Linked DNA regions of Drosophila melanogaster. The protein of the gene in region 1 interacts with the protein of each later gene in a pairwise test. Each region holds a gene or a part of one and is shown in the gene's direction. Other genes may lie near its edges.

The links. The genes of interacting proteins can lie anywhere in the genome.
Region 2: the proteins of CG4073 (region 1) and Teh2 interact in a two-hybrid assay, tested with the Drosophila melanogaster proteins (one large-scale study listed by BioGRID).
Region 3: the proteins of CG4073 (region 1) and CG14401 interact in a two-hybrid assay, tested with the Drosophila melanogaster proteins (one large-scale study listed by BioGRID).

What each region holds. Positions count from the first base shown.
Region 1 is NT_033777.3:10,712,358-10,717,514, forward strand, and holds CG4073 (uncharacterized protein), read left to right. Parts: upstream 1-2,440; 5' UTR 2,441-2,573; coding exon 2,574-3,455; 3' UTR 3,456-3,544; downstream 3,545-5,157.
Region 2 is NT_037436.4:4,184,362-4,190,944, reverse strand, and holds the start of Teh2 (tipE homolog 2), read left to right. Parts: upstream 1-2,921; 5' UTR 2,922-3,272; intron 3,273-4,079; exon of another isoform or gene 4,080-4,176; coding exon of another isoform or gene 4,177-4,431; exon of another isoform or gene 4,432-4,927; intron 4,928-6,281; coding exon of another isoform or gene 6,282-6,583. Other genes in the region: tipE (temperature-induced paralytic E), read right to left, coding at 1-353; VhaM9.7-c (vacuolar H[+] ATPase M9.7 subunit c), read left to right, coding at 4,177-4,431; Teh3 (tipE homolog 3), read left to right, coding at 6,282-6,583.
Region 3 is NT_033779.5:20,866,687-20,872,634, forward strand, and holds CG14401 (uncharacterized protein), read left to right. Parts: upstream 1-3,167; 5' UTR 3,168-3,447; coding exon 3,448-3,661; intron 3,662-3,915; coding exon 3,916-4,074; coding exon of another isoform or gene 4,075-4,086; intron 4,087-4,145; coding exon 4,146-4,369; 3' UTR 4,370-4,786; downstream 4,787-5,948. Other genes in the region: CG9338 (uncharacterized protein), read left to right, coding at 250-458; CG31675 (uncharacterized protein), read left to right, coding at 1,460-1,511, 1,665-1,838, 2,431-2,651.

The sequences.
Region 1 (5,157 bases):
CGTAGTTAAAGAAAACCTTAAGAGGGAAACGAAAACTGAAAAAATCATAATGAAGAAGTGAAAATACAATGAGTTTCGCTATTCCTTTGAGAAAAAATTCATTACATAGGAAATTTATATATTAATTATAGCTATGATGTCATTCATATTGCATCATCATTTGTTTAAAAGTAATTTATTGTCTATTAATTATGTAAAAATTTAAAGGGGCGGATTCCTATGCACCTTACTCCCGTTCTTATACAGTAATTTCGAAGGATAACTGCTTAAACAAACGTTTGCGATTAACATGCGTTAAGTACACAATTTCAGTTACATATGCATAAATAAGCATTTAAATGCGCCATGCCCCCCATGCGTAAATAATTTAATTGCATGCGAGTCGTCTCGAGTGTTGGCATACAAAATAAATTGCAATTAATACTCGATACGAAATCAACAGCCAGAACAGGTGCTAAAAGTTGCCTTTAATCATATTGTTAAATGTGGAAGCCCGTGTCGTGGCACATCACGTATACGCAATGTGGTGCAGAAGGCAACAGCATTTAAGCCAGAAAGTCACGAAAAGGGAAGGGAAGAACAGGAGAGGCGTGAAAATCTGAAAGAGCTGGAAAACCGGCAATAGCAACAGCTACAGAAACTCATCCAGATGTAACTCCCTGCTTTGTCGCCTGAAATCGTGCTTTGTCCTTCGCTCCGTTCATCTGGCTTCTTGAATGGCTCAGTCGGCGGCATTTATGGAAGTCTTGGTTTTTGCCTCGGCCTTAGGCAGCTCCTACCATCGTTGCTAAATATTTATTAGCCCTCTGATTTATTTGTTCAATTGCATGTCGCACGGTTGGAGGGCCACGGTATGATTTTGATGTAGGTACGTGCCACATAAGGCATATTTAATGTCTTCCCCCACCGAATGGTGTTTTAAATTTAAAATTTTTGCCGTAGGTAAGTGCTTTACAGGGCTTAAACATTCGTTTCTATATTTACCGCAAATGTCCTGCTTTATTTAGAAATACGATTTTAAATAATTAACCCTCTTTGAGCACACTTGCCCGGCTCACATGTCTCTAATAATTTCCTTCCCATGAATACTTAATACGTAGCCCTATTATTAACTTTCAAGGCTAAAGATTTGACAAATGTAAGCTGACACCCCTGATTAGATAGGGGGAATGCTTAGTGCTTATTAATAGAATGCAAGTATCTATTAAGTATTATTGTTGCTCAAATGCACAAGGATCTGCCAGTTCAATCAATCAAACAGACATTATTGATGGCACTTCATATTTCGAGCCATTGTCATGACAACCTCAGATGGACGTTTTAATTGGTTGGATAAGTAAATTACATTTACATTTTACATCAATTTTCTGCGGCATTAACAAGGTTGGTTTTTCAATGAAAGCATAAATAAAACATAAATTAATAGATCGAAATGGGAAATGTACGTATTGATACTAATTTATATAGCTGTCACATATGTATTCTTAAATGTATTTGCCTAAGGATAAATTCAATTCTTCCGCTTCAATAAATCTGTTGTACAGTTCACAGCTAAATTCAACTCATTCGAGCGTCAATAAAATCCGATTGTCCTTCTAATTGGATTTACTATGACTTCCTTACGGCACTTTGCCGTAATTTGCCATTTGTTCGTGTTGTGGTTTTCCTGGCTATTGGCACTGTCAGTTTAAATCTCTTAAAAGTTATTGTTGCTCTGAGTGGCAGGCCGATTGATAGGCATTTGTAGGATTTTTAATGCCAAAGCTTATTATGACAGCAAACTGGGGTAATAATATCGAGAATGCCCAAATTTCCTGATGCTGACATTTGTGTAAGCACGGTTTTAGATAAATACGCATATTGTCATCGATTATTGAGGATTAGAGAGCAGGCGAACAAAGCGCGATAATCTCTGACTCAATAACATATTCTAAAGAAAGCTAGGTAATAAGACACCACTTGGTTTCCTCTCCTCCAGGCAAGTTTTTTGCCCGACTCATGTTTATTTAATTCCTGACTTTGTTGTTTGGCTTTAGGCTGTGTTTGCCAATGTTTCTGCACGTGCTGGCTTTTCAGCGGCAGAGTCTAATTAAAATTCAGTAAAAGCCTCAGCCACAAAATGGCCCAAAAAGTTGGCCCTCAGCGCACACAGTTCGCCAGAGCTGAATACATATGTAAACACATCATCAGGTGCAAGGTGGGCCATCTTAATGAGTCTAGTGACAACGCAGCACGTGTCATTGATTAGCACTTCAGTTCTGGCCAGCATAATTCCCATTTAATATGCATGAGTATGCATATACTGCGCAGTGGTTTCATTAACAGAATTATACATCCAATCGATTCGTTATTCCATCACATATCAACACTAAAAAGTATCAATCATTTAACTGTATTAGTTTCAGTAGAAAAATTCCAATCGTTTATTTCAGTAGATCTAAATTGTAACATAACACTTTTTGCCCACAGTACACCCACCGCCTTGTTAATCAAATATATTCATATTTAATATACATGTTCATAGCACCCAGCAGGTTCCCACAACGGGGGTGGTGGTATCAACGCGCAGAAAGATGAGCAGGCCAAATCCCACGCCACGTTCATCGACGGGTCTACGCAAACCGACTGGTCAAAGATCAACACCTCCACCCAGGCCACCACCTCATGTTCCCGCTCCTGCTCCACCACCGCATGAGCCTGCGAAACCATATGGAGAATCCCCGGGCCTGCTGAGCCCGGTCGCATCGTCGGGTCCTTTGCGCCAACGCTCTTCTGTGCACCTGAGGAAGAAACACCTCGGTTGGGTCTACTTGATCCACGCGGTTCTATCGGCAAGTGCAGTAATTCAGCTTGTGGTCCTGCGGCTCTGCAATAAGGACTTCGGGGAGCTAATTAGCCCATCGGTGCCCAGCTTCGTGTGGCTGCTCCTGGCCGTGGGATGTGTGCTGATCATGGCCTACGTGTACCTGGCCAACCAGTGTCCGTGCAATGGTCTGCTGGCCATTGTCATCGTGGAGGTGATAGTGATATTTGTGAATTGCCACCGGTGGGCTCGTCTATCGATGCTCTGGATGACTGGTGTCCTGTCACTCGTGCTGGCCCTGAACGTCATGCTCTACTTGATGGGCGTCTATCTGCCGCTGAAAATACTGCCCGGTAGCATCTTCATGATCGTCCTCACATTCTGTTGCATAGCGATTGTCGTTTCGATCTACTTGATTGTGTATCTAAACGGCAATCGCTATATAATGCGATACGTCTCGATGGTCAGTCTGATCTACGTGGCTAGTCTCATCCTCTTCACCATCACCGTTATCCACCAGCGAAGATTCGAGCATACGGATCGCACCGAATATGTCCTGCAGGCCACCGTTCTGGCCATGCTGTTCGTCTATATGATTCACCCACTCTCAACTATGGTGCGATTTGGGCAGTTTTTGGTGGACCATGTATAATATAAAATTGTTGGAAGTGTATCATCATCTCTAATATAGTCTTAAGAAATGTAATATTGCCCAAATTCCTATATATACATATATATTGTAGCTTATTAGGTGGCTTTATTATTGTTAGTTTTAACTGGTTAACTAATAGCAGCAGGCTTATACAGTTCCGTCATGCTTTTATAGTTCCGTAATTTTTTACAAATTTATTCTTATTTGCTGACGTGTGCAGTTGTTTTGACCAACATTGGCAAGCCTTTAGGCCGCCGGGTTCAGTTCGGAATCCGGTTATCGAACTCTCATCCAGAAGGATGTTTGCATGTGTATTCATGAAGTGTGTATGGGTGTAGTTGCTCTTAGCGACAAGATCCTTTTTGTGGCCATTTCGTGTTTTATCTAAGTCCTTCTAGCCGATTACACAGACAGCCGGACAAAGGGAAACGGAAAGGACCCGCGGCAGAAATGAAAATAAATAATACCCGGGCCCAGCCATATTTTTATGAATTTTTCCATCTTAGCCCTTTGCAGTGCAAGGATATTTTTGGATTTGCCTTCGTTTGTTCACTTCAATAATTCTGAAATCATCCATATCCTCTCCTAGGGCCACTCAAAGTTGTATTTTCAGTTTGGGTTCAACTTATGTTAATTTTATAAATTCCATTTCCGTTGAATCGCTTTTAACTCTTTAAAAATAGTTTTCCACCAGCAGTGGCAGCAGCAGCAGGATAATGGCCTCCAGAGGGGCTATTTTCACAGACGAGAGTTTTAGTTGTTTACTGAACCACAAGTTGGACATTAAAATGCAGTCCAAGGGCAATGTTTTTTTTTGCCGGTTGTGGATGTAAAACAGTGCGGGCTTCTGTGAGTCCAAAACATGCATAGTATTTGTATAAAAGGTCTCGAAATTGTTTTGAAATAAAATGCTGTTTGTCTGCGACTGGTTTTTCATTGCCAGTGTTTAAATTTAATGCATAAAGTTAGTTAAATTTAAAATGTGGTTTAAGTGTATAATACTCTTAAGGGTTAAAATTCCTTGGTTTATATTCACCAATTAATTAAACAAAAACATCGTCCTTTTATGGTAAGCTTATTATTCATTATAAGTCATGAAAATAGATTGCCCAAGGTGGACATAAAAAGTTAGGTCAATGATTAACTTGACATCAACATGGTCGTTATAATCATCAAAGCAATGTGCTCCATGAGCTCAAATTAATCATTCAGCTGCAATGAATTCTTTGTCTCGAACCTTTGTTCTGCACATGTGACATCTGTGAAATTCCGTACATTTCGGTTCAAAAACCCATTTTCTCCGCTCCATTATGCAAAAAGTTTTTTTTTGCGGCTGTTCCTTGTGTCTCCGAATAACGAGAAGCGAATCAGCCGAGACATCAAATTAATTCATAAAATTGTCCATTTGTCCAACATATTGTGGCCAAGATGCCGGACGGATTTGGTCGGAATCTACGGCAATTAGTTTCACAAGTGCCGGACTCAACCATAGGGACCGTGTCAACCAGTGATGCGAACAGGTAATTTATAAAACATGCTAAAAGAACATGGTTATTGAGGACAGCCTCACTTTTATCCCACACATCGAAGCCAAAAGTCAAAAAATTATTTAAAAATCTTTAATATAACTTCATCCTGAAAAAAAAAATTTCCACACTAGTAGTGTTATGTTATGTTGCCAGATCCTCTGCTGCAGGATTTT
Region 2 (6,583 bases), on another chromosome or scaffold:
TCCTTGAGATTGATGTGGTACTCCGTGAAGTTGAACTCATCGGTGAAGTTATATAGATTGAGACGGTAGTTCACCCGAATCTGGGTGCACGTATAGATGTCCTTGGTGCAGCCCTCGCGGCAGGACGACCACGAACAGTTCTTGGCCCCGTAGTAGATCTCCGTGTCGTACGTTTCGCAGAGCGCCGGAACCTCCTCGAACTGCATGAAGATCGTGGTGAAGGCGGGCTCGATGACGAAGGGCACCAGGAAGAGGAAGGCGAACAGGCTGAAGGTGCCCAGCAGGATGAAGAAGGCGGTGGTGTAGAAGAGCAGCTTCTCCTTGCCGGTGCGTTTGTCCTGCTCGTCTCCCATGTTTTAGCTCGATTTTGGTCGGGTTTGAGGTCTACTATATATTATGGTATTATTTAATTTTATTAATATTATTAGTTTTTAGGCGCAGGTCTGGCGGTGGCGGCGGCGGAGCAGAGCGGCGATAAGTGCGATAACTTAGCTTACAATTGCGGCGATTACTGATCGATAACGATAACTAATAGCTAGATTACGATTACGGTGCAAGTTATATCACAGGGAGAGTTCGATTTCTCGTTTCGTTTGCTTTTGCTGTTGCTTCTGCTTTTGCTTCTTTCGCTTTGGTTGCCTGGCTGTCCGGTGTCCCGTTATCTCGCACATAGCTGACCTTTGCAGGGAGGGTCCTGCATCTTTGTGCTCCAGTTCAACGGCATCGCTTCACTCGATTAGGCTAAATACTCCACGGAGTCCGAGTGCGAGTCCCACGTATCCCGCATTCTTAATCCCCTCCAGCTTCCTCCGCCTCCTGGCAGTGTGGTGGCAACAATCGTGAACCTTTGCTAATTGCTTTATTCGTCCCAATGGAGATGTTTCGTCAACATCAGCACGTTGCAGTCGTCTTGCTTTTGCCTGATTTAGCTGCTTCTTGATTATTTTATGACTGCGGCAAAGCACTGGATGTTCGTGCGTGTGTGTCGTGTGTGGCCTGTGTGTCCTGTATGCTTGGTGTGCCTGTGTATGTGTTTGGCCTGCCAATGGCCAGTTTTGAGGTCTCTCTCTTACTCTCTGTTTTTCTTCACTTTACATTTACATTCTTTCGAAATGTGTGTAGAAAAACGAATGCTGGACGGACAGTTTTGTTTGTCTTTTTCACTTTTTTGCTTTGGTTGGCTATTCCTAGCACTCTTCCTCTCTCTCCAGCATGCTCTTTCCTTCTCTTCTTCTCCTTTCTATCCTTGCCACGTGCAGTTCACAAAGGCTGTAAGAGAGTGTGAGTGCGTTTTAAAATACCGTTAGGCCGCGCTTTGCCGTTAATTCGTGTATATTTTTAAAGCACACAAAGGTGACGACGGCTATATTTATGTAACCCCGAGTGTTACGAAACGGAAACACGCGGCACGGCACCAATGAGCTCAACTCGCACTCGTCGTGTTTAAATAATAAAACTCCTTCGATGCATTTGCGGGGTAACGAGGGGGTCAGAGGGGCGGAAGGGGAATGGGGGAGACAGAGTGGAGCCACATGTAATTTTCAATTCATTTGGCACGCTTTCACTCACACACATACCAACTCACACGAACTGGAAACAGACTGTGCACATGCAAGTAGGCTCTCCCCCTCCCACTTACCCACACACACACACATTGACACACAGAGTCTTAGGAAGGGGAGGGGGGCTGTAAAAGAGAAAGAGAGGGGCAGAGTGCCAGCTCCAATCGAAATTATGCGGCAAAGGACCTCCCAAAGGAGTGAGTGAGTGGGCAAGAGCAGAGCCAACTTCTTGTGCCTAGCACGAAACGATTTTTTAGGAGGCACCATATAAAAAGATTTATAAGAACCACCTTGCTGGGAACCTGCCCCCACCTTCTCTTGGAGATCAATTAAATGTAGTTGAGTTACAATTTTCAGGTATTTCGGTTGGGGCCTCTCCACTTCTAAGCCTCCCTCCCCCCACACCTCTTTCCAGTTCTTGTGACGTAGAGTTGCGTGCTCCCGTTTGTGAGCTGGTATGTGTTTGTAAGTGTCCGAGTTGCGCTTGTGTGTGTTTACTCAAGGTTCAGGTTACGCGGTGAACACGATGACAACGGAACGAGGATTACGCATTTTCAATCACAAATCACCAGCACACATTTGCTGTTCTTTGGGCTACCACTGTTTACCATGGAACAATGGTGACCTGATTGCGCACGGGGTCAAAAGTTGCTAACGCTGAACAATTGTCACATTCACGCTCCACATTTTCTTTCGTGGCATTTTCGGTTCCTCTTGCCTTTCTTTAGTGGCAACAATACAGAGACAGACAAACCAACGACAACTACGACGGCGAACGACAACGACGACGGCGACAACCAAAAAAGGAGCACGGCGACAACACGACGGCTGAACTCTTCAGCGAAAGGACTGCCTGCCACTGGCAACGCTGCAGCGGAATTAAGGGCCCACGTCTAAGTGGAGCTTCGGAGCGGAGCTTTCTCCTGCACTGCCAACAAGCTCCAGTCCAGCGTTGCCCATTTGGCTAATAACTTGCTAGATAACTAGCTTTGATAACGGTTAGCTTTCACGTTTAAAAGGACAATTCTTATTGCATACGGAAAAGGAGTAAGGTTAATTTTCTACAACTCCGTAAGAAATGGCCAAAAATCATGAAAAAAATGAAAATAGTATAAACCGTAAATGAACATTTGGCAATAAGTGCTTAAGAACTTTTAGCTAAAATAATAACTTTTGTTGGACTTTTCACTTCTCAGCATCACTGGCTAAAGCTCTCTCTCCCTTCCTTTCTCCAGCTGGGAGCAACAGCGGCCAGCGATGACGTAAAGCCAGTCGGCGCAGGCGCCCGGCGATCCCCGCCAGAAAGAGAGGGCTCCGATGGGCGAAAGCTGAGCCACTCAGAAGTGGCATAAACAGCAGGGAAACGTAACGAGTTCTCCTGTTTGGAATTTTCTCGGCTCGCCCAGCCACGGGGAAATGGTGGAAAAGTGCAGAAACGCAGCAATTGTGGCACTTGCTTAGCTAAGGATCAAAAAGAAGGTCCAATAAACCGTAGAGTTCCGTCAAAGAGTGAGCCATGTGCGGGTTATGAAACGATTTTGATGGCACACTGTGTGCAACTGTGACTGTGACTGCGATTGCTGCAAGTGTATTGGTGTGGTTAACCAGCCCCCACGACCACCAACCCCTTTCCCCACGTGTGTGCGTGCCCCAGTAGCAGGAACGTAAATAAACCTCAACACTCGGAGCTAAAACATCCTTAATTTACATGTGAGTACTGACCGAGAAATTCAAAATGGTAATCGAATGTAGGATCCTTCGATGACCCTCAAAATCATTGCCTACTTATAAGCGCACTTTCCATTGATTGGCATGCAACTAGAATTTCTCCCTGCGGCCATTGATTATTCCATTTGGTCCGTGATAAAACCAAAGCGGAGCATGTTCAGTGGTTTTGTTAGTAGAAGAGCCATTGCAGCCAATCTTGTGATACTATGTAACCACCATGCCACGAATCCTATATGTGTAATTCAATCCAATCCCCCAAACACTTATGAAATGCGTCATTCTTAGATCCCGTCATTCACTATTAGCCATAAATATTTAATAGGCTTGTGGTGGAATCACCAAACCTAGGTATGGATTTACCTAGATATAGATTTATGGTAAATTAAATCTAAAAACAACTAGATATAGTCGTGAATATTAGAAAAGGTCAGCCCATAACCATTACATATTTTAAAAATAGCTAGACAATTACATTTTTTTTAAATAGACGGATATATAGATATCCTTAGATAAGCGTTGAGACTTAAAAAATGTATAATTAAAGTGGATTTATAAAATTTACCTAAGCCCTGTAATTTTATTAAATAGCGAAAATTATTTAAATTATTTTGAAATGATTTTTCTATGTATTTCTATGATTTATGTCAAATTCGAGATCCATTAAAAACAGTTTGTTAACAATAATTAATTCAAGTAATAAAATTAAGCCGCGAAACCAACTGTTGACCAGTGTTGAAAGTGATTCAGTGTGTTAGTGTTGGGCAACAGGCGCCGTGTGAGGATTTTGGTGAGACGCGTTAGTAGATTTCCGCCAACACAGATGATTGATTAAAAAAGAATTTAATTTGACGTAAATAAAGGAAAGTGGAGAAAATAAGCAACAATCATGGAAGTTTTCCTAACAATCGTCTTCTTCACCATCTTCTGGGCGGCGGTGGCCAAGTACGGACCCATTCTGTTCACCAAGCAACCGCACGATGACCTGGTGCGCTGCATTTTCCTTCTGACCGCCGTCGTCTGCTGGCTTTTCTGGCTGTGCTGCTATTTGGCGCAACTGAATCCACTGCTGGGGCCGAAACTCAATGGAAACACCATTCGGATCATTGCCTCGTCCTGGGGAAATCCCATCAAGGAGGGATAAGGAAAGCCCACATAGGAATCTCCCACCTAGCTAATCTTTGGCGGTTGCTTCTTCCGCGTATTTCCGGATCTTAAGCCACATCACACACAGTCGGTGAAACCACGGAAGCAGTGGCTTCGCCAAACCCTTTTTGTACTTCAATACTGGCAGCAAGTGGACAAGGTTGGGCTACGGCTATCCAAGCCCCAGATACGCCCCACTATTTCCAAACTAACCACATTAACCTCTGGACGTAAACTTTCACTGTACATTTTGTTGTTGCTTATAGCTCAATATCTCTGATCACCATATTCTTTATGTTTACTGCAAAACATAAGCCATGTATTCCACCCAAAAATCCAATTATTGCAATTTAATTCTCAACAAACTTGCCACATGAGCGATTTTTGTAGTCAGATTATTATTTACCTATTTTTCCGTAGTGTAGATAATTTACTAATCAGTCATTGTATTTGTGATTTAGCTATTGGCAAATATAGAACAATTTTTTCGTATTATTTTCCTATTCGTGTTTATTTATTATTAGTTTTTAGTATTTACATTGAAAACCAAAAATGTCTAGCAATGTATATTTATAAGTTTACGCCCCATTTAGCTTTTCCCGAAATCTATAGTTCATATATTAGCTTAAATATTATGTTTCTCTTAATTTATATTTGTTTTTCAGAATTCTTTTTTCCCATTATATAGTTTAGTTTGTTTAGTATGAAAATGTTTCATTTCGGAAGTGCAATTTATGTTATTTTTAGAACAATGCATCCGAATAGGGTTATTGTATTTTCGCCTTAATGTGGAAGGGGGCGTGCCCGGTGGTTGACCATAACTGGAGCAAAAACACAAAGTCCCCGCACATGGCGCACTCGGTGCACTTGCACTCTTGGCCATGTGGAGGCCGACTTAATCAATGGAAACGCTGGCAGGGAATGGGAATGGCCCGAGCGGAGCCAACTTGGCGGTTGTGGGCAGGGAAACGAGAGAGCGGGGTATTCGAGGAGCAGCAGGGGAGCGGGGTGTCCTGCTCTTTTCAGCAATATGTGAATGCGGAACTATTGATTTTGCAATAAAAGTGCGCGCGCAGAGCCGAGATTTATGCCAAAAGCGGAGAGTAGCGAATTCCACGAGACCCGCCACGATGTGTGCCATGTTGTCGGCGGTCAGTGAGGAGAAGCCGGAGAGCTGGAGCACTACTAGAGAGCTGTGAAATCCGGAGACCCAGAGCCGAGCCGAATGCAGTCGCCAGTGCGGAGCAGAAAGCCTTGGGTCACGAGCCACCAGCTGCCAGTAACTCGAAGGGAAAAAATAATTACCACAGAACAGCACTGCTCGAGAATTAAGAAATAATTGTACATAAATTATAAATCCCAATAATAGCCAGATAATTGTAAAAAGAAGCGGAATTCCTGGAACTGTGTGAATTCTATCTCCAAATCGACAGGAAAATCAACTGGCACGTGATGCAACCAACGCGTATGGATGGGCCCAGTGATTAAAGTGAATTTCTGTGGGGTCAGCTAGCCAAAAATCGATAGGTTTGTGGCCTATCCAAGGAACGTGTCCTCCAGCTGGAAACGTGCGCAGCCTGCAGAGTAACCAGTTTTCCCTTTTTTTGTGGACCCATTGAAAAGTCGGTGGAAAATCTCAACCTACGCAGGGTTATATAACCGCACAACATACAAAACCGCCCACGCAGCTTTGCAGCTAAATCGATAGACTAAAAACCGACATGACGAGCTTCTAATTGGATTGGATTGCACGCGAGGGATTAACCAGCACAGGGATTAACCAGAGGAGGCACCAGTGACCACCACCCACTTGCTACTTGGAATTACAGGGTAGTCGCGCGTTAAAAAATGGGCAAGAAAAAGGTGCCCGTTGAGGACCTGGTGGTTCCACCGCAGGACACGCGAATATGCGGCACCATATGCATCTGCCAGATGACCCTGGTGCTCAGCTCGGTGGCTCTCGTCTACCTCACGGTGGCCATATATATGCCCTCAACCAGGGCCTTCAAAAGTGGCATCGATCCCACGCCGGTGATGTGCACCACCACGCGGGCGGTGAACAAGGACAACTGCGAGTGGGGCAGTTGTGGCGAGTGGTGTCTGAGCAAGACTTCCGGAGCCTGCATCCAGATCTATGTGAATCTGCGCAG
Region 3 (5,948 bases), on another chromosome or scaffold:
AAAGCTGCATACAAATAGAATTGAGTATCAGAGAAAGTCTAAAAATGAGAATTTTTGAATATTTCTCTATACATTTATCTCCGAACACATTAGAACACACAGCACGCTTTAATGTCGTAATTTCTGAATCTAATTGCCGAATATATGATTTGAATTTATAATATATCAAAAAGAATAACAACCGACAAAGCATTTCCATTTACACTTAACCAAATAATTTGTACCAACTTCTAAAATGTTTACTTGCAGTTCCCGGTAACCCGCAAATCGTGAGGTCCTGCTACTTTGGCAACATCGCCGACACGAAGGTTGGATGCCAGACCGATCCCAGCCTGACGATCAACAAGTTGCTGAGCTGCGAGGTTTGCACCGAGGACGAGTGCAACGGAACCTCCTCCCTGGCCCCCATCGCCGGAGTCATACTCCTGTTCTTTGGCCTGGCCCGTCTGCTAGCCTGAACGAGGAGCAGTTTGTAGTACCGCTGAGCTATCCCAAACATATCGAACTTGCTGTTGGGAAGCCAGACCCATGGAGCTGCTTTAGTCACCTTTGAATCTCTTGTAATTGTTACACCCTTTTAAACTGTTTTCGCCCACATTAAATGTCGCTTTATTTATGTGAAGATATTTTATGGTTATTCGTAGATTAATTGCTAGCTTTAACTGATAGCCTTCCAGTTGGGCAAGCAGAAAATCCATGCGTGTCTGGCACACTTCAAGAACTGGCCCCATCCAATCTACGTCTCTTCTGCAGGGCTCTCTATATGCTGGGCTGACGATTATACGAACAGACGGAAAAGCGGAAAAGTTCTCTCTGTGATTTTACTCGCTTCGACCATACACTCCCAGTTTTCCTTTTCCATTTCCATTTCCCACAGGGTCGCTATAAGTTCGGCGCGTCAAGTCTCCACCCGCTAAATGTTCATTAAATTTAGACAAATTAAAACGCTGAGCGATGACGCCAGGCGAAATGGCCATAAAATGTTTTCACCACAGAAAAAAGAGAGCGATAAACGGAAAAGAGAAAAACGGCAAGGAGTTGAATTTGGAAAATGCTTTTGGCATTCTTTTAGTTCGATTTCGTGTGCGGACGTCGACTGACAGACGGCTCCAAGAATTTAGCCGGGAAATCGGGGAAAATCAAAAAACAAAACTGAGGGAAAATTGGCAACGCGTGTTTACATTTTTATTTCCTACGTGCTGAGACCCAAATAAATATAAAATAAAAGTCATTTATATAGTTGAAAACACACATTTATTTATATTCAAAATATATACTATATTTGCTTATACAAAACATACAGTTTTGTATGTTCAAACCTCGTGCGGATCGTTTCAATTGCGCCGAGCAGAGCTATAAATAAGCCCGCCACTTGAATTATTTTCCATAAAACCATCAAATACAACAAATTCCAATCACCAGCGAGAAAGGTGGCAAACCGATTTTCCTCCCATCAACAATGCAGCATTATTTACTTTTGTTTGGCGCGCTCATCTCGCTACTGGCCTCAGGTTTGTTTTTGTTCTGTTTGGACTTGTTTCTTTCGAATTTGTACTTTGCTTTGCGAGTTCTGCGTTTGCCGCGACCTGTCGGCTGTCCCCGCCTGATCTCATTTCTGCCATAAATAAGACGCGTCTCTGGTCTTCCCATCCCAATGCCACTAGCTTACGCCATCAAGTGCTATGCCTGCGAATCCGTCTACGAGGCTAGTTGCGGCGACGACTTCGAAGTCGAGAACCATTTTAAATACGACTGCGCCTTCATTGCTCCTCCGCGATTCCTGGAGAACGATCTGCTCAGCGTGAATGCCACGGCCTGTTTGAAACGGGTATTCAAGGGTGAGTTTAAACGAATATGTTTCTCAAAACACGTTCCTACGGATTTGAAGCCTTGCTAGGATAGTAACTTTAATAGTTATGAATCAATAGGTATAGTAAAAAGAAAAGAAAGTTTGAAATATAAGATTAAAAAGTGGATATATCGTAATTCACCAAAAATGTATCTATCCACCAGATATTTTTTTAAAGTAATTGTTCATTAATTACAAATACAGTCCGATTAGCAGCGGACAAAAAAAGTGTGTTCCGAAAGGTAAATGTCTGTATACTCATTAAACATTCGCAATGTTGTCCGTCCGAGATTTGTATTTACTCTTCAGATAATAATTTCTTTAATGATTTGTGACGCAAATCAAAACAAATAAAATTAATTATGTGAAACAGTCATACATACATTCATAGACATACGTGCATATACGGACAGCTGTGACCTTATTTCAGAAGAATCTCGTAGACTTTCCAACAATCTCTTGATATTTTGGACAATACGTACACATTTCGTATAAGCCCATTAAAGACGGACAATAAAAAATGTGTTTATTTACGATAAGTCAGCCCGAAAGTAGACTAACCCAATGTTTTGCCTCTGCAGAAAACGGCGTGCGTAAGATCGTCAGAGGCTGCTACTTCGGCGAGGTAAATGCCACCGATGTGTGGTGCAAAATGGACCCCACCCTGTCGGCGGTGCAGAACTCAAGTTGTCATGTGTGCGACAGCGAGAACTACTGCAACGGATCGGAAAATCATCCAGTGGATAAATGGAAAATCTTCGGCAGTCTGGTCTTGTTTCTCTTGGCAACTCAACTACTCTGAGGCGACAGGAGACGAAGTGGAAATGTGGAAATGTGGAGCGTGAAATGAACATTAAAAGGCACAGTAGCTTAAGTAAACCTAGTTCAATTTAGATGTATTCCCAAGGCCCAGGACTATCAATTAGTAAAGCCCACATTAGTAGAGCACACCATCCACAAAACCGTTTAGCCAAATCTGCCCGGCCCACTGTATTAATGGCTAATCAACGCCGAACATGGCGTATGAGCAACATCAGCACACCGAAATGAGCCGAAAAGCTGGCAAACAAATTTCGAACGATCCAAATACAAACTAATAAAAACTAATTTTACACAGAATGCCAAATTGTTTATTTGTTCAAATGCCACTAATGAACCTTGCCTGAAATAAATGGATTGGCGAGGAAAGGGCAAAGGGAATGGCAGGGCAGGGTAGGGCAAGGCAGAGCACGATGTCAACACGCATTGGCCAGGGAAAAGCCAACGATGGAGAAGTGAAAATGTGAAAAAATCTGTTATGAAAATCAAATTCACATTCTGAATGCGATTGTTCGCACGTTCAGTTCAGTTTCTGTTTAGTTCAGTCGCGTGTGTGCATCGCTTCGAGTCGGTGGTCGGTGGTCGGTGGTCGGTGGTCGTTGGTCGGCGGCTTGTGGCTATATAGCGCATCTATCATGTGATTAAAATCGGTCCGGCAACCGAGAAGACAACATCTGTATTCGCGCACGTATCGGCATCGCCAAGCTATAGCTATAGCCATACTGACTCACCGCGACCGCCGGACGACAGTGGAATCAACTGTTTTCGGGGGCGGTACGATGGCGATGATGGCAGCGCTTGCCTCGCTCTTTCTGCTCGTCACGCTGGCCAGCTCAGGTGAGATTCTCGATTCGCGCCCGCCACTCATCACATTCCTGCCCCGAAATTGTAGTTCATATTTTGAAATATCTCAGAAGCAGAAGACTGTCAACACGATTTATTGCGAATCAGTGAATTTAGGGTTTTACCGACTGTTTTGCGGGAAACTGTTCAGTAAAGAAAAACATATAAACAGCTTTCTTTGTTTATTTCATTGTTTACGTATAGAGTCTAAAAAGTTCAAGAATTATATTACAAATTTTAATTAACTTACATCTGAAAAGAAATTAACGTTTTGGAACATTAAGAATGGTTTTAAAGCTAATTGTTTACTTTAAGATAAAGATAAGGTCTACCAAAATGCTCATCCATTGTTTTCCTTTCTGTGCACTCTCGTGGACACACATTTTTACGGATGTCGTCATCAGCCCGTGCCATTACCTGCTACGAATGTGATTCCGTCAATAATCCAGGGTGTGGGGAGCGATTTGTGGGCGATGACATATCCACGACGGATTGCGATGTGGTGGCGAACATGCGATCCCTGGGAGCGGAGGCCACTTGCCTTACCAAGTACCATGAGGGAAGTGAGTATACGAGTATGGTTTCTGGAAAATATGTCAAGGAAATCCCTTATAAAATGACTCACTTTTCGCAGTGCCAGGAGACACGCGCTTCGTGAGGCGCTCCTGTTACTTTGGCGATGCCTCCCCAATAGGCGTCAGTTGCGACGATGGACCAGATCCTGTGGTGCCCTTTATGAACTTCCTCGGCTGCACACTGTGCGATACGGATTTGTGCAACGCAGCCGCTGGATTATCCACACTACCCTTGGTCATTGCCCTTTCGATACTCGGACTGCTTGTCCTACTGGCGACCTAAGGAAGATGAGTCGCGTGGAACGGCGGCGGTCGTATTTCAATGTTTCCTATTAAAAGTAATATACTCCAGTATTGTATAAAAGATTGTTGTTTTCTTGGTCGACTAACTAACATGACTTCTTATACTCATGCAAAGGGCGCAGAACAAGAACGACCCAAAGTTTATCCTTATATTCTTAATTTTCTAAGGCAAATGGCTTAAGTTATAAAAAGCCTACTGAATATGTAATAAATTTAACTTAAAGCCCCTAGAAGAATGAAATAGAAGCAAATATTTTTTAATTTTTATTTTATTTGATTTTCTTTCCATTGTTTTTATACATCCACTAAAATGATTTAACATACATATATATTTATATAATTATACTTGTTTGATTTAATATAATTTATTGAATAAAATTTACTCGTTTCCTACTCTACTAGCGTGTGTATGTAAGTATGTGTATGTGTGTATTGCAATTAGGATCATTAATTACAAAATATTCATAAAATAAATTAAAATAACACTTTCAAATCGATACACACAATTTCTGTTTCAATATCTAGTCCATTGATTTCTTGATCGTCAAACAATTCTAGTTTTACATTTATTTCCAGTTTATAGCATAAATTATTTTATGTAGGCAAACAGATAACATCTTTGCTTATTATCTTAATGGGTTTAGCTGCGGATTATATTCATAACACTTCTGGGCTACACATAAATAACATTCAAATATAAATATATGGATATTTATCAAGATATTGTATATAAACTACACATTGAGAACAATTCAGATAGAAAACAATTTATGTACAAAAGATTGTGTTTGTTTTTGCTTCACCAATACTGTCCATGCTGGCGTTGTCCGGCGGAATCTCTACGATCCCAGCGAGGACCACTGCCGCGTCAATGCCACAAACAATCGTCGTCCATCTTTCCGCGTCTTAAAGTCTATCAACAATTCATATCATCAGCGTGTAAGCATTAGTCAACCAAATATAGTAAAACTTATTGTTTCAACACGATTCACAGTCAGAAACAAATAACAAACAGATTTGCATTGCATGGATCAACTTGTTCAACTTGTTTTGTAGTTGGGTATATAATGTAGTTCGTTTATATAATGCTGCGTGCGTACACATATACATTGAATCATAGTAACAACAACACACAGAGTTTGTTTAAAACCTATTCATATTTAGTTTGCTTTTCACTGCTGCACCTTTCACTGATTGCAGGTTACCTGGGTTATATTGGATGGTTATAATATAATTTTTAGGGTATGGGATTTGGGTTCGGGAATTGTGGAGTACCAGCTCCTCAATGAAATAGTTGTGGAGTGTTACCCATTACATTCTGCAATCTGTGATCACTCCTGTCCCTTCCCCTCAATTCGTTGTAGTTCTTTTATTTAAATGTAACAATTCGTTTGAGTAGTGCAACGATCAATAAGCCATCGGAATTTGCAGACACTCAAAGGCAGATGAGTGTTCGTCCAGAGGGAAATGGGAGGAGACACACCATGTTATTTTTGTAAAACATAAAAATTGACTAGAAAAGTGTGCAAAAATTTTGTGTACGTGCAGTTTTTAGGTGG